6 linked regions of the Canis lupus familiaris genome follow. The protein of the gene in region 5 interacts with the protein of the main gene of each other region in a pairwise test. Links are inferred from orthologs where the notes say so. Each region holds a gene or a part of one and is shown on either strand. Other genes may lie near its edges. The genes, in order: TXNDC17, SLAIN1, MORN4, DUSP23, EXOSC8 and TFAP4.

Evidence for each region.
Region 1: the proteins of EXOSC8 (region 5) and TXNDC17 interact in binary tests that used the Homo sapiens proteins (3 or more experiments, as listed by UniProt). The two-hybrid records come from large-scale screens. The link is inferred for Canis lupus familiaris from reciprocal best matches to the Homo sapiens genes EXOSC8 and TXNDC17.
Region 2: the proteins of EXOSC8 (region 5) and SLAIN1 interact in binary tests that used the Homo sapiens proteins (3 or more experiments, as listed by UniProt). The link is inferred for Canis lupus familiaris from reciprocal best matches to the Homo sapiens genes EXOSC8 and SLAIN1.
Region 3: the proteins of EXOSC8 (region 5) and MORN4 interact in binary tests that used the Homo sapiens proteins (3 or more experiments, as listed by UniProt). The two-hybrid records come from large-scale screens. The link is inferred for Canis lupus familiaris from reciprocal best matches to the Homo sapiens genes EXOSC8 and MORN4.
Region 4: the proteins of EXOSC8 (region 5) and DUSP23 interact in binary tests that used the Homo sapiens proteins (3 or more experiments, as listed by UniProt). The two-hybrid records come from large-scale screens. The link is inferred for Canis lupus familiaris from reciprocal best matches to the Homo sapiens genes EXOSC8 and DUSP23.
Region 6: the proteins of EXOSC8 (region 5) and TFAP4 interact in binary tests that used the Homo sapiens proteins (3 or more experiments, as listed by UniProt). The two-hybrid records come from large-scale screens. The link is inferred for Canis lupus familiaris from reciprocal best matches to the Homo sapiens genes EXOSC8 and TFAP4.

What each region holds. Positions count from the first base shown.
Region 1 is NC_049226.1:30,900,979-30,905,031, forward strand, and holds TXNDC17 (thioredoxin domain-containing protein 17), read right to left. Parts: upstream 2,801-4,053; 5' UTR 2,699-2,800; coding exon 2,554-2,698; intron 2,132-2,553; coding exon 2,050-2,131; intron 1,305-2,049; coding exon 1,229-1,304; intron 629-1,228; coding exon 560-628; 3' UTR 449-559; downstream 1-448. UniProt on the Homo sapiens protein: Disulfide reductase. May participate in various redox reactions through the reversible oxidation of its active center dithiol to a disulfide and catalyze dithiol-disulfide exchange reactions. Modulates TNF-alpha signaling and NF-kappa-B activation.
Region 2 is NC_049243.1:31,288,914-31,292,853, reverse strand, and holds the start of SLAIN1 (SLAIN motif-containing protein 1), read right to left. Parts: upstream 2,801-3,940; 5' UTR 2,769-2,800; coding exon 2,155-2,768; intron 1-2,154. UniProt on the Homo sapiens protein: Microtubule plus-end tracking protein that might be involved in the regulation of cytoplasmic microtubule dynamics, microtubule organization and microtubule elongation.
Region 3 is NC_049249.1:11,062,080-11,065,579, reverse strand, and holds part of MORN4 (MORN repeat-containing protein 4), read left to right. Parts: intron 1-1,670; exon of another isoform or gene 1,671-1,696; 5' UTR 1,697-1,704; coding exon 1,705-1,771; intron 1,772-2,950; exon of another isoform or gene 2,951-3,031; coding exon of another isoform or gene 3,032-3,089; intron 3,090-3,231; coding exon 3,232-3,346; intron 3,347-3,500. UniProt on the Homo sapiens protein: Plays a role in promoting axonal degeneration following neuronal injury by toxic insult or trauma.
Region 4 is NC_049259.1:23,177,065-23,181,068, forward strand, and holds the start of DUSP23 (dual specificity protein phosphatase 23), read right to left. Parts: upstream 2,801-4,004; 5' UTR 2,773-2,800; coding exon 2,506-2,772; intron 1,235-2,505; exon of another isoform or gene 1,041-1,234; coding exon of another isoform or gene 1,023-1,040; intron 602-1,022; coding exon 420-601; coding exon of another isoform or gene 416-419; intron 1-415. UniProt on the Homo sapiens protein: Protein phosphatase that mediates dephosphorylation of proteins phosphorylated on Tyr and Ser/Thr residues. In vitro, it can dephosphorylate p44-ERK1 (MAPK3) but not p54 SAPK-beta (MAPK10) in vitro. Able to enhance activation of JNK and p38 (MAPK14).
Region 5 is NC_049246.1:3,769,858-3,774,087, forward strand, and holds the start of EXOSC8 (exosome complex component RRP43), read right to left. Parts: upstream 2,801-4,230; coding exon 2,775-2,800; intron 1,743-2,774; exon of another isoform or gene 1,219-1,742; intron 1,081-1,218; coding exon of another isoform or gene 1,008-1,080; exon of another isoform or gene 940-1,007; intron 407-939; exon of another isoform or gene 1-406. Other genes in the region: ALG5 (dolichyl-phosphate beta-glucosyltransferase), read left to right, coding at 1,015-1,080, 2,785-2,956, 3,342-3,388. UniProt on the Homo sapiens protein: Non-catalytic component of the RNA exosome complex which has 3'->5' exoribonuclease activity and participates in a multitude of cellular RNA processing and degradation events.
Region 6 is NC_049227.1:37,390,406-37,394,377, forward strand, and holds the start of TFAP4 (transcription factor AP-4), read left to right. Parts: upstream 1-1,172; 5' UTR 1,173-1,324; coding exon 1,325-1,413; intron 1,414-3,972.

The sequences.
Region 1 (4,053 bases), on a different chromosome or scaffold from region 5:
TACTTTCTAGAGCCAAAGAAGATGCTTTAGGAGTAACAGTTCTTTATAAATTTGTAGCATTTATGGTAAAAGATGCTAACTCCTTTTGAGATTTGGAATTTGTTTTCTGTACTGGTAGAGACTTTTAGACATTTCTGTCACCTCCATAATCCATTCCCTTGTGCTATTACTGTCACCCTTGAAGACTTGACTTACCTACATCTTAAAGATTCCCATATATTACAAGCAAATTGAGAGTTTATGAGCATTTTAATAACACTTAAAAAAGATTTTATTTGACAGAGAGAACACAAGCAGGGGGAAGGGCAGAGGGAGAAGCAGACTCCAGGCTGAGCAGGGAGCCCGATGTGGAGCTTCCAGGACCCTGAGATCATGACCTGAGCTGAAGGCAGACGCTCAACCAACTGAGCCACCCAGACGTCCCTTAATGGCACTTTTTAGACATAAATCACTTTTTTACATCATTTATTTATTGCTAACATAAATTCAAAGCAAGTGTGCAATTGCCTTTATACTAGAGCAAATCAGGAAATCAAGACACAATTGCTATCATCAAATCTTAATCTTCAGAGAACAACATCTCCACGAGATTGGCCTGAAGACACTCAGATTCCACCAGTTTTTGAGGCTGTAAGAGAAGAACAGTCTAATCTTACCTGACAGCTACAAAACTGGGAGGGAATGTGGCAGGGAATGTGGTGTTCCACCTGGAGTGACACAAATCTCACAGCAGAGAACTTAATCGCCTTTCAAAAACTATCAACTAGTTGTAACAAGTCTTATGAAATAGTTAAGTTACTTGGCTCTGCATACTAAGACAAGAGACAGCAAGCCCAGTGCCATTCCCTCCCCTCAGCTCTTTAATTTAGAATGCCAGGGCCATGGCTAAACTTTCAATGAGGATTCTGGGTGAAATGGGAAACAAGTACTGTGCTAGTGTAAGAAATGAGGTGTTAACCACCATTCTGAGCAGTGAGTGGCACTTAGAGAATTTTAAAATGGAGTGCCTTTTACAAAGCATGAAGATCTAACGTTTAGATATTTGCATTATTAATAGTCTATTGGAATTAGCCCCAGGGATGGACAGCCAGTCTGTGTATTTTTAATGCACTCTGAACACCAATGTGATATTTGGGATGAAACGCCAAGATCTTTTCAAATTTGAATCCAGAACAAAGAGTTCTGATGTGAATTGTAGCCCCAGCATGATGAAAACAAAGACACTTACTGTTCCATATTTAAGTAGTGTAGGCACTGCTGTTACTTTCAGGTTTTTTCTGAAGTCATTATTTGGATCTTTCCAACTGTTTTGAAAAGAAAAAGTGATCATGGTTTCTTGTAGGTTACTTAATATTTGATATATTCCCACATTTAGTCTTTTAGTAATCACTGTTTTTGTTGTAAACATCAAACCTTGAGGGTTATGACTTTGGGACTATGCAGTTTTTTTTTTTCCTTTTTTTAAAGATTTATTCATGAGAAACAGAGAGGCAGAGACAGGCAGAGGGAGAAGCGGGCTCCTCGCAGGAGCCCAAGGATCACGACCCCAGCAGAAGGCAGACGCTCAACTGCTGAGCCACCCAGGTGTCCTCACGTCTTTTAAAGCGTGACTATGAACTAAAATAAACGTAGGGGATCCCTGGGTGGCGCAGCGGTTTGGCACCTGCCTTTGGCCCAGGGCGCGATCCTGGAGACCCGGGATCGAATCCCACATCGGGCTCCCTGTGCATGGAGCCTGCTTCTCCCTCTGCCTGTGTCTCTGCGCCTCTCTCTCTCTCTGTGACTATCATAAATAAATAAAAATTAAAAAAAAAATTAAAAAAAAAATAAACGTAGACTGCTAAGTTCTGAACTAATACTAAGCCAAATTCATTGACATCACCTGTAACATAAGCAGCTAAATGCTCAAAATTTGTAGATTCACTTCTAATGGCACGACTTTTCCCCACTCCTGAGGACGGAGAACCTGAGTCCCGAGGCCCCTCCCGCCTAAGTCTGCAAAGGTCCAGAGCCATGTCTGGGAAGTAAAGGGAAGGCACACACACTTACTAAGGTCTCTCTCCCACTTGGCAGTAAATGAACACACATCCTTCACTAATATGCTTCAGCCCCTCTCGCACGACAGGCTCAGCTTGAAAAACAAAAAAGGTATAAATAATTACATATGAGCTGTGGAAGGTCGCACAGAGAAATGACATCTGGGTGAGTAGGCAGGCTTGCACCTGCCCTGAGAGCAGCGGTACCCGAGCCTCGAGCGTCCTGAGCGCCCTGGAGAGGCAGGATGGCTGATTCACAGGCATGGAGTGCCGGGGGGGGGGGGGGGGGGGGGGGGGGGGGCGACCAGCAGGGCTAGGGACCCGAGGAGCTGGATGGGCTGAAGCCGGGGGGTTGGGGGGCACAGCAGGGCTAGGGGCCGGGGTGCTGGACGGGGTGTTGGGGTGGAGCGGGAAGGCGCGGGGGTGTGGGGAGCAGGGCTAGGGGCCGGGGTGCTGGACGGGCTGGAGCGGGGGGAGCAGGAGGACTAGCCACGGGCGCCCCCGCCCCCCGCCTCACCCTGCACGCAGTCGGGGCACCAGCTCCTGCCCCCGGCGTCTTTGGAGCCGGTGAAGTAGGCGAAGATGGTCTTGCCGTGGTGCTGCTCCACCGCCCGGCTGAACTCCTCGAAGCCCGACACGCTCACCTCCTCGCAGCCCGCCATCTGGACAGCGCGCCGCGCTGGGCTGGCCGGGACCCCGAGAGGCTGGGGCTCCGGGCGGGACAGCCTGCCGGGCGGGGCGCGGCTGCTTCCGGCGGGGTCGGCAGCAGGGGCGGGGCTGGCAGCAGGGGCGGGGGGGCCGACAGCAGGGGCGGGGGGGCCGGCGGGGGCGGGGCCGACGGCAGGGGCGGGGGGGCCGGCAGCAGCGGCGGGGCCGGCAGCAGGGGCGGGGGGGCCGGCAGCAGGGGCGGGGCCGACGGCAGGGGCGGTCCGCGGCGCTACGGAGACCTCAGGCGGCCATACGGCGTCGGTGTTGCCCCTGTGCGCCCGTCTCTCCGCGCCCCCGGCGCCGGCCCTCCGCTGATAGCCGAGTCTCTGCCCCAGCCGCCCCGGCCCCGGCCCCGGCCCCATGAGCGGTGGCTGCCCGGCCCGCCGCCACGCCGCCCGGGGACCCCTGGCTGGCTCGAGAGCCCTAACGGCTCCCAGGCCGCCCCGCGCCCGTTGCTATGGCGACCGGGCGAGCGGCCGGAAGCTCGGCCTAGCCGGCTCCCAGGCGGCCTCCCGGTAGCCGCCGCGCCGCAGGCAGGTGGGCTCGGGCCGGGACTGGGGGGTTCCGGGAGGTCGCGCCGGGAGCCGCGCCCCGGCGCTGGGGACGCCGAGCCGCCCGAGCACCGCGCTCCTGCGGCGTGTGGGGGTCCCCGGGGCGGGGTCGGGGCGGCGGCGGCGGGCTGCGTGCGCGCGTGCGGCCGGGAAGGCGGTGGGGGAGCGCGCGGGCCTGCGGCCATGAGCGGGGCGGCCGGCCGCTGCGTGGGGCCCAGCCGGCCGGGGCGGGGGCGCGGGCAGCCGTGGGGGAGGCGGTGCCCCGCGGGGACGCCGCGAGGCCGGGGAGCGGGCCGTCGAGCCCGGGGCGCCGCGTGGGAGGCGCGCTGCGTGAGCGCGGACGGGCCCCCCGGCTTCGGGCAGCCGCCGGGGACGGGGGCCGCGGCGGGGGCGGCGGGGGCCGGGGGGCCGGAGGCGGCGGGGAGCCCTGGCGCCGCAGCCCCCGTAGCGAGGGCCCCGGGGGTCGTGTGGGTGGACGGCGCGGTTGGGGAGCCCCAGGTGGTGGGGCCGGTGGGGTCGGTGTGGGTGACCGGGGCCGGGCGGGAGGCGGAGAGGGAGGGGGCGGCGGGCCCGAGCCCCCGGGGCTGCGAGAGGAAGGGGCGGCCGGGCTCCGCGGGCCACGAGAGCATCCTGGAACTGTGGCTAAAGGTGCAGGCCGTGCGGGCGGCCTCGGGGTGCGGGGCGGGCAGCAGGGTGCAGCTCCACCCGGTGCCGGTGGAGGGCCCGCTCGAAAGGGGCATCCCGGGCCGGGCTTCCTG
Region 2 (3,940 bases), on a different chromosome or scaffold from region 5:
TGGAGCCTGCTTCTCCCTCTGCCTATGTCTCTGCCTCTCTCTCTCTCTCTCTCTCTCTCTGTGACTATCATAAATAAATTTAAAAAATTAAAACAAACAAACAAACAAATGAAAAAGATAGGCCATAAAACAATGTGCCACTTGTCTGTAGAAACATCTATAAAGCGTCAAGGCATTGATTTATGTACTCCCCTAAATAGCTGATGAGTGAAATTAGTAGAACCTGCTATACTTTACATTCACTTCAAACCATCTGAAGTGCTAACAAAGTAATCCCACAGAGCAGGTCATTTTTTTTCCCCAAAGTTATTTCAATACTATTTTGACAAAAAACAAACTACAAAAAAAAAAGCCTACATATCAAAATTCTAGCAGTAGTTGGACAATAGGGAGAAGTCCATTCAATGGAAGAAAATACTATTATATTAGCTATGTATATACTACCCCATTTGAATACACTTCCAAAATTATAAGCATATCATAATACGTTTAAAAATGCTAACACTTTTAACGTACAGGATTGATGCCCATCAAAAACACAAACAAGTTTCCTTCTACCATTTAAGTACATATTTCCAGAAAAGGCCAAGTGGGAACTAAATCAATGTAACGTAATTTGAAAGCAACATATGGGCTTAGAGTTATTATAACCTAAGAACGACCAACATGAGAGCATTTTCTAGTGCCATGTTCAGGCTGAAACTGAGTTTACAATACAGCCTGGGCTTCACAGAAAAACAAAGGTGTAATATCTAAAGTACGGCTTATAAAGCTCCCAAAAGTGGGGAGTTGTTTTGGTTTTTACAACTTGAGCTACCAGCACAGCTGCCTGCCAACAGGGAGAGTACTGAGGAGGAGGAGATGCTCCAGATACGTTTGGATTCTGCAGTTCAAACCAATTAATGTACTTTGCAGTCAGGAGCTCTAAGTATATAGGAACACCACAGGTCTCAACAGAAAACCAGTAAGAGTCTCCATTTCCCATTCCTCCGTGTGAGATCATGCAACAGGACCACAGAGAAAGTGAGGGAAATCCAGCCTCCAGGAGCAGGAAGAACCCGAGATAAAAGAAGGGCTCCAACTCTTCTTCCTGCCACAGCTACTTAAAGGTGAATGCTGTGCATTTTCCCTGCGGGAATCAAAGTTCCACTTTCTGAGGCTTCTACTCATCTTCCCCTGTCCCACTACCCCTAGGAGATGGAGGAAAGCAAATGAAGCAACCAAAAGAAGTAGGTCACGAAAGGAACTCACTCCATGAGAACGTAGCGTAAAAACACTAAGGTAACCGGACCCTCCCCTTCAAAGTCACTCATTGATGGAGAGAAGAGCTAACCAGATTTCCAGTGAAATGCTGCTGCCAGCCACAGGTTTTTAGATAACTTAGTTTCTAAAAAAATAATGATTATAATTATAATAAAGTTTCTCTAATCTCCCTTTTCTTCAATCAACAGTTCGATTTAAAAAAAAAAGAATTAAAGAAAGATCCTTGGTTTCGAAGTAAAGTGTCTTCAAGCTGCCCCCATCTTTGACACCATTAGTGACAGGAAAGCCAGTGAGGGCAGCACATCTCAAAACAGCTAGTCAGGCTTTGAAATGAGAGGCGATCAAGGAAAATGCAGCGGACGAGGACGTGCGACCGCACAGCTCAAACCGCAAGAACGAATCTCCGAGGCGGCGGCTGGGGAAGCGGCGGGGGAAGCCACGGGAGGGCACCCCCCCGCCGCACAGACCCTGCCCAGGTCCGCCGGGGAGGAAAGACCAGGTTGGCCTCGCAGACGGAGGCCAACCCCTCCCCATCCCCCGTGCCTCCCCCCAGATGATGGGGCGGGCGGGAAGCTGGACCGAGTAACAAAAAGAAGGCACGGGTTCTTCGGTGACTGCTCCACGGCGCCGGGGGCCGCTGCAGCAGGGCGCGGGCCCGCGGAGACGGAGGGGACCGGCCCATCCCCGGCGGCGCCAGCCTGAGCTGCGAGAAACACGTTTCGCCCTCGGGAAAGGCCCCGGCTCCTCGCGGACCTGGGCACCTGCCAGGCCACCGCGTCCGGGGGCGACCGCGAGCCCCCCCCCCCCCCCCGCTGCCCCGGCCCACGCCCACCCCGCTCCCCGGGCCTCCGAGGCCGGGCCCCCGGGGGAGGGAGCGGAGCTCGGCAATACCAGGTGCAGTCGTCCTCGTCCCGCCAGGCGGCCACGCTCTCCAGGTCCAGCGGCTCCACCTCGTCCAGCAGCGTCGGGGGCGGCGAGGGCGGCGCGGGGGCTCCCCCCGGCGGCGTCCCCGCGCCCCCCGGCTCCGGCCCGCCGCCGCCCGCGCCGAAGAAGCCCGCCGCCGGCTTGAAGTAGACGAAGGGCGCCTCGGGGGGCTGTGCCAGGCTGCAGAGCAGGGAGGGTGCCGGGCTGGGCAGGCAGAAGGTGCCCGGGAACGCGGGGCTGGAGCCGCCGCCGCCGCCGCAGCCGCCCCCGGCGCCCAGCGCCAGCCCGAGCCCCAGGCCCCCCGAGGCGGCGGCGGCGGCGGCCGGGGGGCTCCGGGGACCCAACGGGCTGCAGGCCCCGGCGGGGGGCGGCGCGGCGGGCGGCGGCGGCGGCGGCAGCAGCAGCAGGTGCGGGGCGGCGGCCGCGCTCGCCGCCCGGCTCCGCAGCTGCTCGTTCTGCTTCTCCAGCTTGCGCACCAGCTCCTGCAGCTTCTTCACCTCCAGCTCTGCGTTCACCACCGGCCCGGAGCCCGCTCCGGAGCCGCCCCCTGTCGAGGCGCATTTCACCTGCTCCGCCATCATCGTGGGCCCCGGGGGCGCCGCGGCCGCGGGCGGTGGGGGGCGGGGGGGGGGGGGACGCGCCGCCGCGCCGCTCCTCGGGCCGCGGGGAGGCTACGGCTCCTTCCCTGCCGCCCCGGCCCGAGGCGCCGACCACGCTGGGGCAGGAGCCGAGCCGGCTGCTCGCATCAGCACCGGGGCCCAGCCTCCGGCCGAGGCAGCCGCCGCCGAACGGCTCTGCACATGCTCAGAGCGCCCTCCGGTCCCCCGGGCGGCGCGGCGGCTCCGGGTTTTAGCCGCGGCCCCGGGGCGGGGCGGGGCGGGGCGGGGCGCGAACGCCGGGTGGGCGGGGCCGGCGGGGACCTGCGGCGCGAGGAGGCGAGCCCCCTGCCGCCCTGCCCCCAGGTGCCCTGGCGGGGCCCGGCCCGCGCTTTCCCGCCCGAGGCGCTGCCGCAGCTGTGCCGAGCGCCCGCGGCGCGGTCCGCGAGCCCGGGTTCCCCGAAGCCCGCTGCAGGCGCCTGCCCTGGAGGCGCGCACCCCGCGCCCGCGCCGTGCTGCGGCCCAACCGCCGTAGCCACTGGCCCCGGGCTCACGAAGCCCGCGGAGAACCCGAGGGCCGAGGACGTTACCCCGGGGCTGAAAAGTGAAAACGTGGAGCAGAAAGACTTTGAGGCAGTGCTACTAATCCACTAATTGGCAATACAGAAGCAAAATGGTGGGGGACAGGAGGCCGGGGAGAAAGAAGACGTCCCTCTAAGACAGGCCAGCTGCTGAAGAGCCCAGTGGTGCTCAGTGTACCCTAAAGCGGAGGAACTCAAATGATTCCTTTACCACCAGTGCCGGTCGTGATAAAGCAAGAGCATTTTCCGTACCGCGTATCACACAAAAGGCCTTGGAGCACTTCACTGCTCCAGACCCGATTCTAAGAGTTGACCATCACGCAGTGAACAGGACAAGCAAAAATCATTACAGGCGAAACATGAGTAAAATTGCATAGTGCTCCATCTCTTTAATAATTTACAAGCTATTAGGTCAGACTGACTTACGGGGGTGGAAGGGAACCGAGGAAAACAAAACCTCTATCCCAGTATCCCTGACCTCACCTGCAAGCTGCGCTTCTTACATCTTTTGGAAACTACTGGCAAATCTGCTCTGGGGGGCAGGGGGAGGCTTTTAGGTAGAAGAATTGAATCCAG
Region 3 (3,500 bases), on a different chromosome or scaffold from region 5:
AGAGTAATTTGTGCTCATTTTCACAGTCTCCTGAATGATCACATCTGCCTTGCAAGCTTTTCTGGCTGCGGGCTCTTGCCGCTCCAAAGCATCCTGTTTCCTGCTGACCCATTCGTTTTTCCGCAAGCACCCCTTTCAGATTACTTGCCTGTTCAAAAATCCCCAGAGCCTTCGTCTTTCCCCCACCTTATTAGCTGTAAATTCTTCTGCCTAGCTTTCCAAGATCCCCTTAGAGTGGCCTGATCCTAAAAGCAGAGTGTGCAACACGAGAGAGAAAGAATGAGCAGCAGGCAGGGGAGGCCAGGACCCGAGTTCCAGCCCAGCCACTGACTGGCTTTTCACTTCCTTCTCTCCGTCTTTGAAATGATGGAGTTTGGATTTAACTCTGAGAGGCTGGGACACTGGGTGGCTCAGTGGTTGAATGTCTGCCTTTGGCTCTGGACATGATCCCAGATTCCTAGGATCTAGTCCCACATTGGGTTCTTTGCATGGAGCCTACTTCTCCCTCTGCCTGTGTCTCTGCCTCTCTTTCTGTGTCTCATGAATGAATAAATAAAATCTTTAAATCAATCAATCAATCTGAGAGGCTTTTTTTTTCAGATTTCAGAGTTTGGCTGAGTACCTAGATAGACTTATTTCCCATTACTCCTTAAATAAACCTTCAAGTGCAATAAGACCCAACTTAATATTTTCCCACCGACCATCCAGGTTATGTTGCTGTTTGTGCTTCCATTCCTCAGGTTTTCTCCATGGGCAGCCGCCCTTTGCTTTCTTGACTGCTTGCTTTCAGTTGTGCCCATCCCTTGTGGGTTTGTTTTTGTTTTTGTTTTTTTAATTTTTATTTATTATTTATTTGAGAGAGAGCGAACACACAAGCAGGGGGAGGGACATACAGAGAGGGAGAAGCAGACTCCCCACTGAGCAGGGAGCCCAATGCAGGACTTGATCCCAGGACTCTGGGATCATGACCTGAGCCAAAGGCAGACATTTAACTGACTGAGTCACCCAGGCTCCCCAACCATCCCTTGTCTTTGTACATCTCTACCATCCAGTTTGGCACTTAATTATATTACCTCTCCTATTGTTCAGTATGTCAGCTACTAGTCTTACCAACTAGACTGTAAACTCATTGAAGGAAGAGACCATATTTTATACATCAACTAAATACAGAGTACGTATCAAGCAAATATTTGTAAATTCATCTTCAATTTCTATCTCAGGTCATAGAAAATTGGAATTGGCTGACAACTTTTTTTTTTTTTTTTTTAGATTTTATTTATTTATTTGAGAGAGAGTGTGAGTCAGGGGAAAGGGCAGAGGGAGAGGGTGAAAGAGAATCCCAAGCAGACCACATTGAGTACAAAGCCCAGTGCAGGGCTCGATCCCAAAACCCTGAGATCACTACCTGAGCTGAAACCAAGAGTCGGAAGCTTAACCAACTGAGTCACTCAGGTGCCCCAGGCTGATAACTTTTAAGTTGGAGGATAAGACTGCTTGAGCCAAGGTGATCTGGGGGTGGGGAGGTTGGAGAGGTGGGCATGTTTGTTAAATGTATCCAGGGTAATATATATACTCACTGGGCTAGTTTATAGAATGTTTCTGCAAAATTGCTTTGCAAGCCTTTCCTCCAACCATCCCGTGACTCTGGTTCTCTCCTCTGTTTCCTGCAGTTTTTATCCTTTTCTTCCTTCCATAGCTGTCACCATGACCCTGACAAAAGGTTCCTTCACCTACTCCAGTGGGGAGGAATATCGTGGAGAGTGGAAGGAAGGTAAGAGAATCCCTGGGGGATCAAGTGAGGAACACTTCATTTGGCTGAAGGACAAATGCATCAGGCTAGATAAGCCAACTGCATGAGTCTTCATGTCTAACTCCAGGATTTAACCTGAATAGTGCCTTGCCTTTCTTTGGTTTTAGGATTAAATAAAGGAATTAGAAAACCTCATTGTTTGCCCAGTAAGTTAAGGAAGACCTGGAAATTAGGACAGATACTCAAGGGCAAATGACAGTCATTTCCTTGAATTTTCTGTGACAGCTCCTTGCATTTGGAAGTGTCTATTCACAGGCTTAGTGAAATTCCACAGAGCCTGAGAAACACAGTCTGACCATTTAAGAGCCTCATGGGGCCAGTCCTGGCAAGCCAGGAACTGCCCCGAGGAGCCGTGACTTCCAACAGTTGTGCCAGGGAAGAGTTCAGGCCGTTTCAACATGCACCCCATTCTTTTCACGTTAGATACCTGTAGCTGATGAATTCTTGAGCCCTGAGAGGCGAAACTGGACAGACGGGATGTAACCTTGCCTCCCCAACACCTGCCGTCCCCTCAGATCTGGCCAGTTAGAGGCGCCAGTCTGCTAGGCAGTCTCTATCCCTTAGAGGAACTCCCTTGTACTCTCCTGGAAAGACATGATTGCTCCTCCAGCATCGTGCCATTTTTCTGGTCAGTTCAGTGGATAACAAAGCCTGAATCATTGCCATCAGTCGACTGTTCAGTTTGTCCCCTAGCTTCACGGTGCCATGTGGCACTTTTTTTCTCTCAGAGAGGCAACATATAAGTCAGTGTTGAGAGTTCTCCGGTCCAGATGCCCACTGCATTTGCATTCTTACTCTGCCACTTAACAGCTCTGTGGTCTTAAGGAAGTGATTTAGCTTCTCCTAGCCTTACTTTCTGCATCCGTGAAATGGGAATAATAATAGTACTGTGCCTATCTCTTCATGTCGTGAGGATTAGATAGGATGATAAATACAAAGTGAGAAGGGTGCCTGACACGGAGTAAAGGCACTATGGTAGCTAGTGTTATTTTTTTTTTTAAGATTCTATTTATTTATTCATAGACAGTGAGAGAGGCAGAGACACAGGCAGAGGGAGAAGCAGGAATCATACAGAGAGCCTGATGTGGGACTCGATCCAGGGTCTCCAGATCACGCCCTGGGCTGCAGGCGGCGCTAAACCGCTGCGCCACCGGGGCTGCCCGCTAGTGTTATTTTTAAGTGCTCTCTTGTTCATACGTAGTGAGACCTGCTCCAAATCTGATGCTTGTGACAAGATGGGAAGGTCCTGGAAGCCGGATTTTCCTGGTGCCTGTTCTGGGTAGTAGTTCTCTGCCCTGCTAACATCACTGCTTCTCTCCTTTTGTTTGTGCATGGGGTGACAAAAGACAAGGGAGATTGGGCAAGGAGGGTGTTCCTGAAGCTGCCTCTGAACCCTGACAACTGTCTTTTTCTTTGCCTAGGCCGCAGACATGGTTTTGGTCAACTGATGTTTGCAGATGGTGGCACCTACCTGGGTCATTTTGAGAATGGGCTCTTTAATGGCTTCGGGGTACTGACCTTCTCAGATGGCTCAAGGTAAGTATTGGGTCATTCTTTTTTCAGCTTTGATAGTGATAGCTGGTCAGACCTGAGCTTGGCCCAGGCCCTCTGAAAACAGGCGAGAAGTAAGCAGTTCTTTTATTAGTTACTTTATAAATAGATCTAAAATTTGAAATGGCAAGGAGCCGAA
Region 4 (4,004 bases), on a different chromosome or scaffold from region 5:
AGGGGCAGGCGGGCCTCGGCTGGGGGTGTCCCCTGTGGCCCTCCGGTCGGGGACCATCGGAGATCCTGGGCTGCTGGGGGGCTGTGTCCTTTCCGTTGACCAGCTCCCCAGGAGACAGGCCAGGGATTGTCAGAGAACGGTCTTAGCCTCTTTAAGGGCTGAAGACCTGGCCCATCCCACCACTTTCTAGAAGTGTGGTCGAGAGCCTGAGCCACCTCATCTGAAGGACAGTCCCCAGCTCACGGGGCTGGCGTGGGGAAAGCTGTGCACACCGCAACCCTGACACCCCCCCCACCTCCCCCAGCACGGCCACAGCTCGCCTTTGGTCGGGGGTCGGGGCCTGCCTGCAGGGTCAGCGTCTGTCTGCGTCGCCGGCCCCAGCAGACACGAGGCTCAGGGGAGGGCGCCGCGCCCCTTACTTGGTCCGCTGGTAGAACTGGAAGACGGCTTTCTCCTGCTCGTAGGTCTCGATGGAGCCAGGTCGAAGGCGTCGGATCTCGGCGATGGCGTCCCCGGCAGCCAGGCCCCGCTCCTTCACCAGGTAGCAGGCCAGCATGGTGCCCGTGCGGCCAAAGCCCAGGGCACAGTGCACTCCCACCGCCTGGGAAGAGGGGGCTTGATGGGGCCGAGTCTGATGCCCTCCCTGGGGCTCTCCCGCTCCTCCCCTGCGCGAGCCTCCTTTCTACACCTGCCTCTTCTGGGTCGGGCTGGGGCCCCTCAGGTGTTGCAAGGATCTCGGGGGCGAGAGGGGATGTCAAGGTCAGGGACAGCTGTCCCCTACCTGGCGGCGTGGAGGCCACCAATCACCTCCCCCGTAGCTGGTTCCAGTGCTGGGCTCCCGGCCCCCCGCAGCCCTGTCCCTGCGCCTCCCAGTGCAGAAGCCACCGCGCGTGGGAGAGGCCGCTAGTCCAACCTGCGCCCCGAGGTGCAACCACCGGGTTCTGCACGGGGTGCAAGGCACGACCTACCGCCATTTAGCATTTGCGTTGATCATACGGAGAAACCCTAACACTTTGACTTACTGGGTTTCGCTGTATCATCAAAACGAGATTCCCTGACCCTTCTCTGTCACACGGTGGCTCCAGTCGGGGTGTGTGGGAGGCGGGTGGCCCCGAGACCCCGCAGCGGTGCCGCCTCCCACCTGCGTCTCCCCGTGCGCCGGCTTCTCCCTCTCCTCTCGCCACACTCCCTGCGGCCCGGGGCCCTCCCGCTGCCCTGGCTCCACCTCCCGTAACCCCGCCCCGCCCCGCCCCGCCCCGCCCCGCAGCGAGGTCCCGCCCTCCTGCCCCCGCTGACCCCGGCCCCGGGCTTCACGGTCTAGTCTCGGCAGGGGGGGCCCCGCCTCCGCTCCTGGAGCCCCGCGAGGTCCCGCCCTCCTGCCCCGCCCCCCGCCCTCTCCCCCCTGCGGTCACCCCCTGTTCCCCACTGCCCTGCGCCTGCGGGGGCCCTCCCCCCTCTCCCGGAGCCCCGCGAGGTCCCGCGCTCCTGCCCCCTCCTGCCCCCGCCCTGTCCCCCGCTGCCCCCGCCCTGTGCCCCGCTGTCCCCGCCCTCCTGCCCCTCCTGTCCCGCCCCGCCCTCCTGCCCCCGCCCTGCCCTCCGCTGCCCCCTCCTGCCCCCGCCCCCCGCCCTCCTGCTCCCTCCCTGTCCCCCGCTGCCCCCGCCCTGTGCCCCGCTGTCCCCGCCCTCCTGCCCCTCCTGCCCCGCCCCCCGCCCTCCTGCCCCTCCTGTCCCCGCCCTGCCTCCCGGCTGACCCCTGCAGGCCCCGCCCTCCTGCCCCCGCCCTGCCCTCCGCTGCCCCCTCCTGCCCCCGCCCCCCGCCCTCCTGCTCCCTCCCTGTCCCCCGCTGCCCCCGCCCTGTGCCCCGCTGTCCCCGCCCTCCTGCCCCTCCTGCCCCGCCCCCCGCCCTCCTGCCCCTCCTGTCCCCGCCCTGCCTCCCGGCTGACCCCTGCAGGCCCCGCCCTCCTGCCCCCGCCCAGCCCTCCGCTGCCCCCTCCTGCCCCCGCCCCCCGCCCTCCTGCTCCCTCCCTGTCCCCCGCTGCCCCCTCCTGCCCCCGCCCCCCGCCCTCCTGCTCCCTCCCCGTCCCCCGCTGCCCCCTCCTGCCCCCGCCCCCCGCCCTCCTGCCCCCGCCCAGCCCTCCGCTGCCCCCTCCTGCCCCCGCCCCCCGCCCTCCTGCTCCCTCCCTGTCCCCCGCTGCCCCCTCCTGCCCCCGCCCCCCGCCCTCCTGCTCCCTCCCTGTCCCCCGCTGCCCCCTCCTGCCCCCGCCCCCCGCCCTCCTGCTCCCTCCCTGTCCCCCGCTGTCCCCGCCCTGTGCCCCGCTGTCCCCGCCCTCCTGCCCCCTCCTGCCCCGCCCCCCGCCCTCCTGCCCCTCCTGTCCCCGCCCTGCCTCCCGGCTGACCCCTGCAGGCCCCGCCCTCCAGCCCCCGCCCTGCCCTCCGCTGCCCCCTCCTGCCCCCGCTGCCCCCGCTGCCCCCGCCTGTGCCCCGCCCCCCGCCCTTTCCGCGGACCTCCCCGCGCGCGCTGGCCTCGTCCACGATGCGCACGAAGCGGTCGATCTGCTCGGGGGCGGGCGGGCAGAAGTCGGGGATGCGCAGCCGGTGCAGCGTGAGGCCGGGGCAGCTGTCGCTGTGCGGGGGCCCGCGCTCCGTCAGGGACACCAGGTGCCGCACGCCCTGCTCCCGCAGGAAGCGGTAGTGCGCGGGGAGCCGCGGCAGCGCCAGCCCCGCCAGCCGGCCCGGGAGCACCCACGAGAAGTTGGGGGGCTGCGCGCCCATCGCCGCGGAAGCGCCCCCCGCGCCCCGCCCCGCCCGCCCCCGCCCGGACCACGTGGGCCCGCCCCGCCCCGCCCCGCCCCCGCCCCGCGCGGGGATTGGCCGAGCCGCCTGGGGGCGGGGCCGCAGCGCCGAGCGGGCCCTGAGTGACGGGCCGGGCGCCGCGGGCAGGCCGGGGGCCGGGGCAGCCCGCGCGCTGATTGGCCGGGCGGCCGGGGCTGGGCGGGCTTACGGCGGCGGTGCGCGCGGGGATTGGTGCAGCTCAGGCGGCGGCGCCGGGGGTGGGCGGGGCCGCCCGGGGGCGGGCTCTGCTGCTCCCTGGCGGCCGGTGGCGGTCAGCGCAGCGGGGTCCCCGCGCGTGCCGACCCCGGGCGTGACCTCCGCGCTCCGACTGGGCCCCGGGCGCCCCGGGTCCGCGCGGGCCTCCTCCGCCGGGATGGCCGCTGCGTCCCAGGGGCTTGGCGACCCGGGGCGGTGCGGGCGAGCGGCGCCGTGCGGAGGCCTGTCCCGCGTTTGCGCTGCGGGGACCCCCCAGCCCGGGGCTGCCGCCTGCGGACGGAAGAAGCCACGTTTACTGGGCACTTGCCACAGCACTTTACCCGCGTTAACTCCTTTAACATCGCCGACCCAGCCGCAGCAATCTCACCAAGCGGGTGCCCTCATGAACCATGGTCTCCAGATGGGGAAACTGAGGCTCCGCAGCTGCAGGAACCTGGCCGAGGTGGCTCCGGGCCTGCGGGTTTGGAAGCAGGCGGCCTGGCCCCGGCCTCTTTGCAGCCCAGTATTGGTTCCCTCCTCCGTGACCATCCTCACGCTCCCAAATAGCATCGGGGTTCCACAACTGCGGGGTTTCTGAATTTCTCTTAGTGTTTCGGGACTTCCAGGCTGGCTGTGTCACCCTCCCGTGGGGCGGCCAGAGGTCACCGGCGTTGCTCCCGATGGTGGAGACCCAGCTCCCATGGGGCGAGCTGGCTGTGGCCTGACCCATCCGTGTCCTCATCTGAACAATGCGCTTCTGGTGACGCAGGCCGATCATAATGATGGGAGCTGTTAGCCCTCGTTGAATCTGCTGCTGTCCCGGGCCCTGCGCCTAGTGCTTTCTGGAAGAGCAACACGTGGACGGTGTGTTTGGGTCCCCTTTGTACACGTGTGATCGGAGGCTAACCCAGGTGGGTTAACGCGGCCGAGGACATGCAGCTGGGATGTGGCTGGGCAGGCCGGGCCCAGGGCACCTA
Region 5 (4,230 bases):
TCCGCTCGGAGGAGCCCAGCGCGCCTCTAGGCTTCTTGGCCTCGGACGCGTTTTGTCGAATCTGCTATTGGGAAAGAGACGGGTGTGTCTCTTTAGAAAAACGGTATGCTAGCTCAGGAGTTTAAGGGAAAGCCGACCTTATTGCCAGGAATTGAGTGAGTATTAAGTGTGGGGCATTATTCCAGAGCTCCTGCGTCCTTTCCCGCCTCTGTCTCAGGCTGGGCCCTGGGCGTGCCTCACCCCAAGGGAAGGGCTCCCTGGAGCTCCAGTTGCTGAGCAATCACGTAAACTCTGTGCGCGCTGGTGATCGCCCCGCGGTACACTCTGCGGGCCCCCGGAGGGGCTCCTGAGGAGCAGCTTGTGCCGTGGGCTGCGTTTGTTCTCAAAGCCGTCACCTCCCTCCTAGGTAGGTTTGCCAGACGGAATACAGAACATCCAATTAATTTTTAATGTCAGATACACAAGCTAATTTTTCCCCACTATGAGTATACCCCAAATAGTACATGTTATTAGTTGTTACGGGGCGGGGGGCGGGGGCGGCTGGGAGCGAAGAATGTTTTAGAAATAGATAATGGGTGCAGGAAATTGTGAATGTAACCAATACCACCGTATCGTACCCTTAAAATGGTTAAAATGGCAAATTTTATGCTGTCTCCGTTTTTAAAGACTCATGGAATACAATAAAACCTTTTTAATGGGTGGATTGCACGGTGCGTGAGTGCTGTCTTAAGACGGCTGTCGAAAAGCCGCTCACTGCCTACCTGAAATTCCGACTGGGTGGAATCCTGTGTGTGCCTGCGGGTTCTGTCAGCCCTGCGGGGAACCCGGCGCCCGCCTCTGCGCGCGAGCCTGGCCGCCAGGGACGGCGTGTGCGCCGCCTGGCCGCGAGGGGCGCTGTGGGCGGCGGGCGGCGGGCGGGCTCGGCCGCTCTGCCGGCGGGAGGCGGAGCTGCGCGGCGGCGCTTCCGCGTGTGTGTAGGCGCTGGGGAGGGCGCGCGGCAGCCGGGTATGGACGATGATTGCGCTCCTGCTGCAGCTGGCTGTGCTCGGCGTGGCGCTGGCGGCCGCCGCCCTGACGCTGGTGAGCAGAGGGCTGGGGACCGACGCGGGCCTGGGCTCCGTCCTCTCAGAGACTCGGCCGCCACGCAGCCTGTCCTCTGCCCCGCACGCTTCGACGCGTCCCTTTCCCCCCACGCTCTCCCCCGAAACTTGACCAGGATTTCCTCTCCTAGAACTTCACAGCCCCTTTCTTCCCTTCTTTGTCTTTATTTTGGAGCGTTACCTCCCTCTGCGGCCAGGCCCTTGTAACGTTGGTTCCCCGGGGGACGTGCGCCCCCGTCAGCCTCCACCGGCCCCGCCGCCCCCGACCTCTGCCCTGTCAGTCCCGACCTCTCCACCCCTTCCTCCTGCATCTGCAGCCTGTGCAGTTCCGGCTGCACCCGGGAAGGTCTCGAGCCCCCCCAGGAGGTTTGCGCTCCCTGGACTGACCCTCCTGATGCGGGGAAGCAACTAGAAGGTGGTGACAGCTTTGACGAGAGCCATCTGCTAGAGATTGGGGTGAATCAGTGGATCAAGAAGACCCAGGAGGGACACAGTAAGGCCGAGGCACGCAGGCCTGCTGTTACCGTTGTCTGGCAGTCCCTATGACCCGGGATTAAACACCCTAAATTCGCTGCCTCTAAAGGAGGGCACAGTAGAATTGAGACTCGGATTTTCTTTGCCATCACTCTGGAAACAAACATTGTAAGCACTTGCTGATTCATTAGTAATGGTTTGCCAAGTGAGCTTTCTCCCTTATAATTTGGAACGAGCCTGCCATCCAGTTAGTACGTGGAGAGGTTCCAGCTTCCTTGACACCCAGATTAGCCCCCCTGACAGCACTGCTGGGAAGGCCGTTCTTCCGCCTTGCCGGGTTTGCACACTTCACAGTTTAGAAATAACTTATAGAGAAAAAGCAACGTGTCCTGACTTCTTCGGTGATTTGTGTCGGGGTCAGAAAGGAGTCCTCTCTCTCCGTTAGGGGTAGATGGAGATTTCAAGGTTTTCTCAGGTTTTTGGTGGGGGCAGAGTTTTGACAGAATCCTAAATTGACTCTGTTTATTTGATCTATCTGTTTTATAGAATTAAATGGGTGCATTTTGAGGATGAACTGGAAGTATTTGATCCTACCAGCTTGTGATTATAAGAGCTACTATTTAGGGCACCTGGGTGGTTCAGCAGTTGAGCATCTGTCTTGGGCTCAGGTCGTGATCTCGGGGTCCTGGGATCGAGTCCCACATTGGGCTTCCCGCAGGGAGGCAGCTTCTCCCTCTGCTTATGTCTCTCTGCCTTTCTCTTTGTCTCATGAATAAATGAAAATAAAATAATTTTTTAAAAAGCTAACATTTATAGAGGACTTATAATTTGGGGGTATTGTATTCAATGTTTTATGTTGTGCGATCTTTAAAACAATGCTAAATGAATGTTGTCATCATTAGCCAGGGGTTGGAGATTCAGGGCATCTTAAAATGGATTGCACTTCTCTGGTGACTATTCCCTATTAAATCTGGGATGACAGAGGCCTAGGGATGACAGGTGGGAAGACACAGCTCCTAAGGCATTAGTTCCTACCAATGGAAGAAGGACAATTATTAGTTCATAAGTAAGGGATTTGAATTTGGTGTCACCTCCAGACCATTCTTAATGGACTAAAAACTGAGAGTGAACATTTAACAACAACAATAAAAATCACATAAATGATGTAATCTTACATAATATAGTTTCTTGTTAACATACCTACTTTTAGATTTCCTTTGTTGCATTTATAACTGCTACAAAAATGCCACATCTCCATCAACATGAAGAGGAGAAGTTCTTCTTAAATGCCAAAGGACAGAAGGAAACTTTGCCCAGCGTATGGGACTCGCCTACCAAACAGCTCTCCGTTGTTGTGCCTTCATACAATGAAGAAAAACGGTGTAAGCCCAATTTCATTTTTGGGATATGGGGCCATTGGGAAGAAAAGGAAATTTAAAGTATGAACTTTACTATCTTTGTGAGAACATTAGTAGATGTGGGCTCTGATGAGTGCATAGTTGGTAGTTGTAGTTCATGAGAGTGGAAACAAATGCCAGCTATAAAGAATACGGTCAGCATCATGAAGTCATAGGACTGAAGTGTTCTAGAGAGACATTAAGCTAGTTGTGGACAGAAAACAGGCCTTCTAGTTGGGAAGGGCCACTGGAAGAGGTCCGAGAGGGCTCTGTTAGACTATTCAGACTTTTTCCATATGTAAACTGAGTGGGGGCTTGGCAAATCATTTTCGAAAACAATTTTTCAGAGATGTATTTTTTTTTCTTTAAGTGCCTGTAATGATGGATGAAGCTTTGGGCTATCTGGAAAAGAGACAGGTACCATATTTCTCTTTCAATATGATGTCCCTAGTTAAAACTAGACTAAATCACCAATTTAGAGATCCCAGGCTAGATCTGTTGAGAGAGGCAGTGCCAGCCATGCCCAAGCCGTCGAGGTCACCAGGGCCTCCTGTGCTCAGCTTGTCCCCTTCCATCACGGGTTAGCATGCAAGCCCAGCACATGACACGCTACCTCCAGACGCACGCAGGTGGGTGAACCCAGAACAAACGGAAAGCAGAAATTTCTTATGTACCCTCCCAACCACTTTGTATGCTCTTGCCTGATGATATATTTAAAATTAAGTATGTCTGCAGACTGTGTGGCAACACGATGCTGTTTTTACTTTAGTGACTTTTTAAAACATTTATTTGAAAAAGACTTAGAGTGAAATTGTTTTTCTTTATTATTCAGAGGAGTTCCGCTCATTTATTTTCTCTACTTTCCCTGCATAAATAGAAGAAAAATAGTATGTGTCCTTGTTTTGTATCATCAGCTGCTGCTGGAATCTTCTTGGAGAGTTTAAGGAAACAAAATGAGCTTTGTGGCTGGTCCGTTTTTTTTTTTTTTTTTTTTTTTTTTTGGTCTGGCGGGGGTTTTTAAATGAGAAAACAGGCTAAAACTCTAACTCATCCAATATCATAAGTTAGAAATAGTGTGGCCAGATTAGAATTGCACATTCTAACCTCATGGGCTTTTTTTTCTCATACATATTTGTATCCTCTCTCATAAGTGCTCAGCACCACAAGCACCTGGCTACTCCACAGATTCGGTGTGGGTAGGCAGTCAAGGGGGGAGCAAGAGTCGGTGTTTGCCCTCTCCTCCTGTCCCACCACTCTCC
Region 6 (3,972 bases), on a different chromosome or scaffold from region 5:
CATTCCGAGGCAGGCGTGGTCTTCCTGAGCCAGGGGCCAACCCGACAGAAGCCAGGGGAGGGGACTCGGGAGGGGGTACGGAAGCGGGCCGCCGCAGCGTCCTTGCCCCCCCGCCCCGGGCATCACCGTAGTAGAGAGCGCACCCTGGCGGAGGAGCAGGTCCCGCACGGCCTTAGGCATGAATGGGAAGCTTCGGGCCTCCTCTGCTGTCCAGCCTCCCCGCGGAGGGGGTAGTGGGAGGGTGGCTAGTGAGGGGGACCCGGCGGCAGCCACCAAATCTGCGGGCCGCTGCCGTCCTGGCCCGCCTCCAGCCTTCACTCCCCGCCGGGGCCCCCCGTTTCTAAAGGCAGCCCCAGGATCTGAGGCGCCCGGCGCGCCCCCTTCGCTCTGCACCCCCCCCTCCCCGCCCCCCGGCTCCGAAATTCCCAGGCTCCGGAGCCCAGGCTGGGCGGCCAACTGGGCAGCCAGGGAGGGAGGGGGCTGGCTGGCCTCCGAAGTCGGCCCCAAGTTACATGTGGGAAGAGGTGGCTGTGACGCAAGTTTCCAGGGGGCCCTGGGCTCGGAGGGAGCGCGCCAGAGCGGCTCCTCTCCATGCAGCTGCAACCCGAGCAGCACCCCAGGCCGCCTTCGCCGTCTCCGCGGGGCCCAGCTGCGCGCCCGCCGTCCCCGGGGGCCGCCGAGCGCGGAGACCCTGCACCGGGCAGTCCCCGCCGGACCCCGGACTCGCGGGCTAGGCTCCCTCGCAGTGGCTGGCCTTTTTTTTTTTTTTTTTTTTTTTTTGCAACGCTTGCCAACCTGTCAGCTGATGGACCTCATCACCCATAGTGGCGCATGTAGCTCGGCCGCAGCTCGCTCCATTCACACCGCGCCCCCCAGCCGCCCCACGGCCCCCGGCTCCCAGTGCCGGGGGGTTGGCCCGCAGACCCTGGCTGCCACTGGCCCCCGGGGGCCGGCGCCCCTCTCGCCCTGGCCTCGCGCAGCCCCGGGGGCGCTGCAAATAGTCCTTTGTTTACATGCAATTCCTTACTCCGCGGAAGGAGGCCGGGGGAGTGCTGAGTTTTCACCAGCTGTTTCCCGCCTTGAAACAGACATCTGATCAGCTGCAAACACACACACACATACACACGCCCGGGGAGGCAGGCCGGAGAGACCTCCCTCCCGCCCCTCCCGCCCGCCTCCCTCCCCTCGCCGCCGCCGCCGCCAGCATCTGGGACCGGCCGTTTCTGCACCTCCGTCCGGCGCTGCCCTTTGATTCGGATTTCCATCTTGCATTCTCCGGCGGACCGCGGGACCCGGCTCGTGCAGAGGAGGGGGGCCGATCGCTATGGAGTATTTCATGGTGCCCACTCAGAAGGTGCCCTCTTTGCAACATTTCAGGAAAACAGAGAAAGAAGTGATAGGAGGGCTCTGTAGGTGTGTACTCCTCCTCCCCCCCACCCCCTTCCCATGATTGCAGCCCCCGGCCAGCCCGCCCGGGCAGGCGCGCGTGTGCGCACGCATGGCCCGCGCTGCCAACCCCGCTCGCCTTTCTTAGCCGCCGGGGCGGCTACAGCCCCGCGCGCCGGGGTTGCGCCGCCGGGGGACCCTCCTCCCCCGGAACGTGGGGGCCCCGAGCGGCCCCGGTCACTTTTGTCCGCTGCAGGCGGGCGAGTCGCGACGTTTGTAAATTGCAAACAGACCCACGTGGTTCTGCAGCAGTCCCGGCCATGCTTGGTGCTGGTGGCTTTCCCCCCCGCGCTTCCTCCTCCCCCCTCCCGCGGCGGCTTCCTTCCTCTCCCTCCTTCTTCGCTGTCTCTGGGTACCCCCCTCCGTGGCGGTTTGGGGGGCCCGGGCCGCGCGTGGGGCCGTGGCGCGGGCGGCTACAATGCAGCCACGCCGCGGCTCTGGGCGCGAGGGGGGGATCCGGGAGCCGGGTAGTGTGTTTGTAGGGTGCGGGGCTGCGGCGGGGCCGGGGGGCGTGCTCGAGTGGGGGCGCGGGGATGGGTGGGACCCGGGAGGCCGGCGCTGCCGGCCGGGGGCGCCGCGGACCCGGGCACGTTGGCGGCCGCTCGCTCGCTTGCCGCCCGCGCCCGGGCGCTGTTTACTAGCGAGGCCTGGACGTGACTCTGCAGCCCTCTTGGAGTAGGCGGACCTCGGCGCGCCGCCTCGCGGGAGCTGTAGTTCCCCGCGCCCCGCCCTGCGGCATTGTGGGAGTTGTAGGCGTGCCCGGGCCACGCTTTCCTCGCACAAAGCTCAGCTCCCGAGGGCCGGGTGCGCCAGGCGGGCCCGCGGGGGGGTGCCTTTTGGGGAGGGGGCACCGGACAGTGCCCCTGGCCTCGTGAGGCCGTTGCCCGCCGCCCGCGGGGCTCGGCTGCAAACTTTCCCAGCCCACGCCCCTCCCCCAGCCCTAAACCGAAAGCGTCCAGCCCCACCGTGGGTGGGTGACCCCGGGGCCGCCGCCTTCCCCAGGAGCCACTTCCCAAGCGTGGCCTCGGTCGCTCCAGATCCATCCTTCACCAGAGGGTGACGGGTGCGCGCACCACTCACATCCCCATTCCCCTGGACCCTTGTTAAAATGCACGTGCCCGCCACTCGGATGGCCAGGAGGAGGACGGCCCTGTCCCTGAGCGTCTGCACCGAACTCGGCCCGCGGGACACGGCGGTGCTGCGTCTGGGGCTTCCCTGGGTGCCCCACTTGGGAACCTGCAGACCCCTTAGAACCCCGCGGCTCCTGGAGCGAAATGGCTCCCTAGGACTGGGGCCACGTGCTCAGCCGCCAGGGTCAGGCTGGGCGGGGATTGAGGGAGGAGGAGCCGGGGCGGCGTGGCCCGCGCTGCTGGACAGCAGGGGCTGCAGAAACCGGGTTCGGGGACGGGACGGTGGCTGCTCCTGTACACACACCTCCCCACCCCGCCCCAGGCTCCCACCTCGACGGTTCTAAAGTTCGGAGTCATGTGCAGCCAGGGGGGTGGCCACCCTGGGTGCTGGCCCTTCCTTAAGGTCTACCAGAAGGGCCTCCCTGTAATAAGAAAAAAAATTCTGGAGCTCTTAGTATGTTCTAGGGACTCGTTTTGATAGATTTTTTTTTTTCTCACTGAATTTTTACACTCTGCGTCCTGAGTTAAGCGGCCTTATACACATACACTGTATGGGGTGAGGACATGGGCTTGAGAAGGGAAGAGTTAGTTACAGCAAGTGTTGGGGCTGGGACTTGAACCCTGGTCCCAGAGCCCTGCTCCTATCCCTCGTGGCTGGTTGGTTGTTCAGAGAATGGCTGGGTAGGACTGTTTGAGCCTGATCCTGGGTAGGCTTAGCACAGTGGGGACCTCTAGCCACCAGGTCTGAGACTTAGTTGAATCCTCTCTTGACCTCCCAGGACTAGGAGTTATACTGTCCCTGTCCCAAACCCTGCTTTAGAGGAGTCTAGCAGTCTCCAGGGGTCAAGTGCCCCAGGCTTGGGCATGGGGACATGCTCAGCCTGCCTATCTATGAGACAGTTGAAGCCTGTGCAGTGGGTGTGGAGTTGGGACCTCTGGGTTTGTTCATTTTCAGAAGCTGTGGGGTGAGGTGGGATCAAGTGTGTGGGTTGGGTGAGAACTTCTGGCTTTATGGATTGGTTTCTGAGGCTGGGATCTTGTTCTATCCCTCAGTGACTAGGAGCACTCTCTGCCTCATCCCTCTCCCAGACCTACTGGAGGGGGCCATACTGCACAGTGGGCACCCCCACCCTGAGTCACCCTCAGAGCAAGGCTCATGCCCCAGCTGTGTGGTTTTGGACCTGTGTGGTCTCAGCATGTGCCACTTCAGTAAAATGGAGCACCTGTGAAGGTTAGGCTGTGTGTATGGAAAGTGCCAGTATCTGTTAAATTCTTAGAAGCAGGAGCACTGTGATCTTAAAGTGTTTACCTCCTGCCCTTGGGGGGAAAGAGACCAGTGCTCAGAAGGAGTTAGGGAACAATTAGGGGCTTTGGAGTGTGTGTGCTGGGTCCCTGA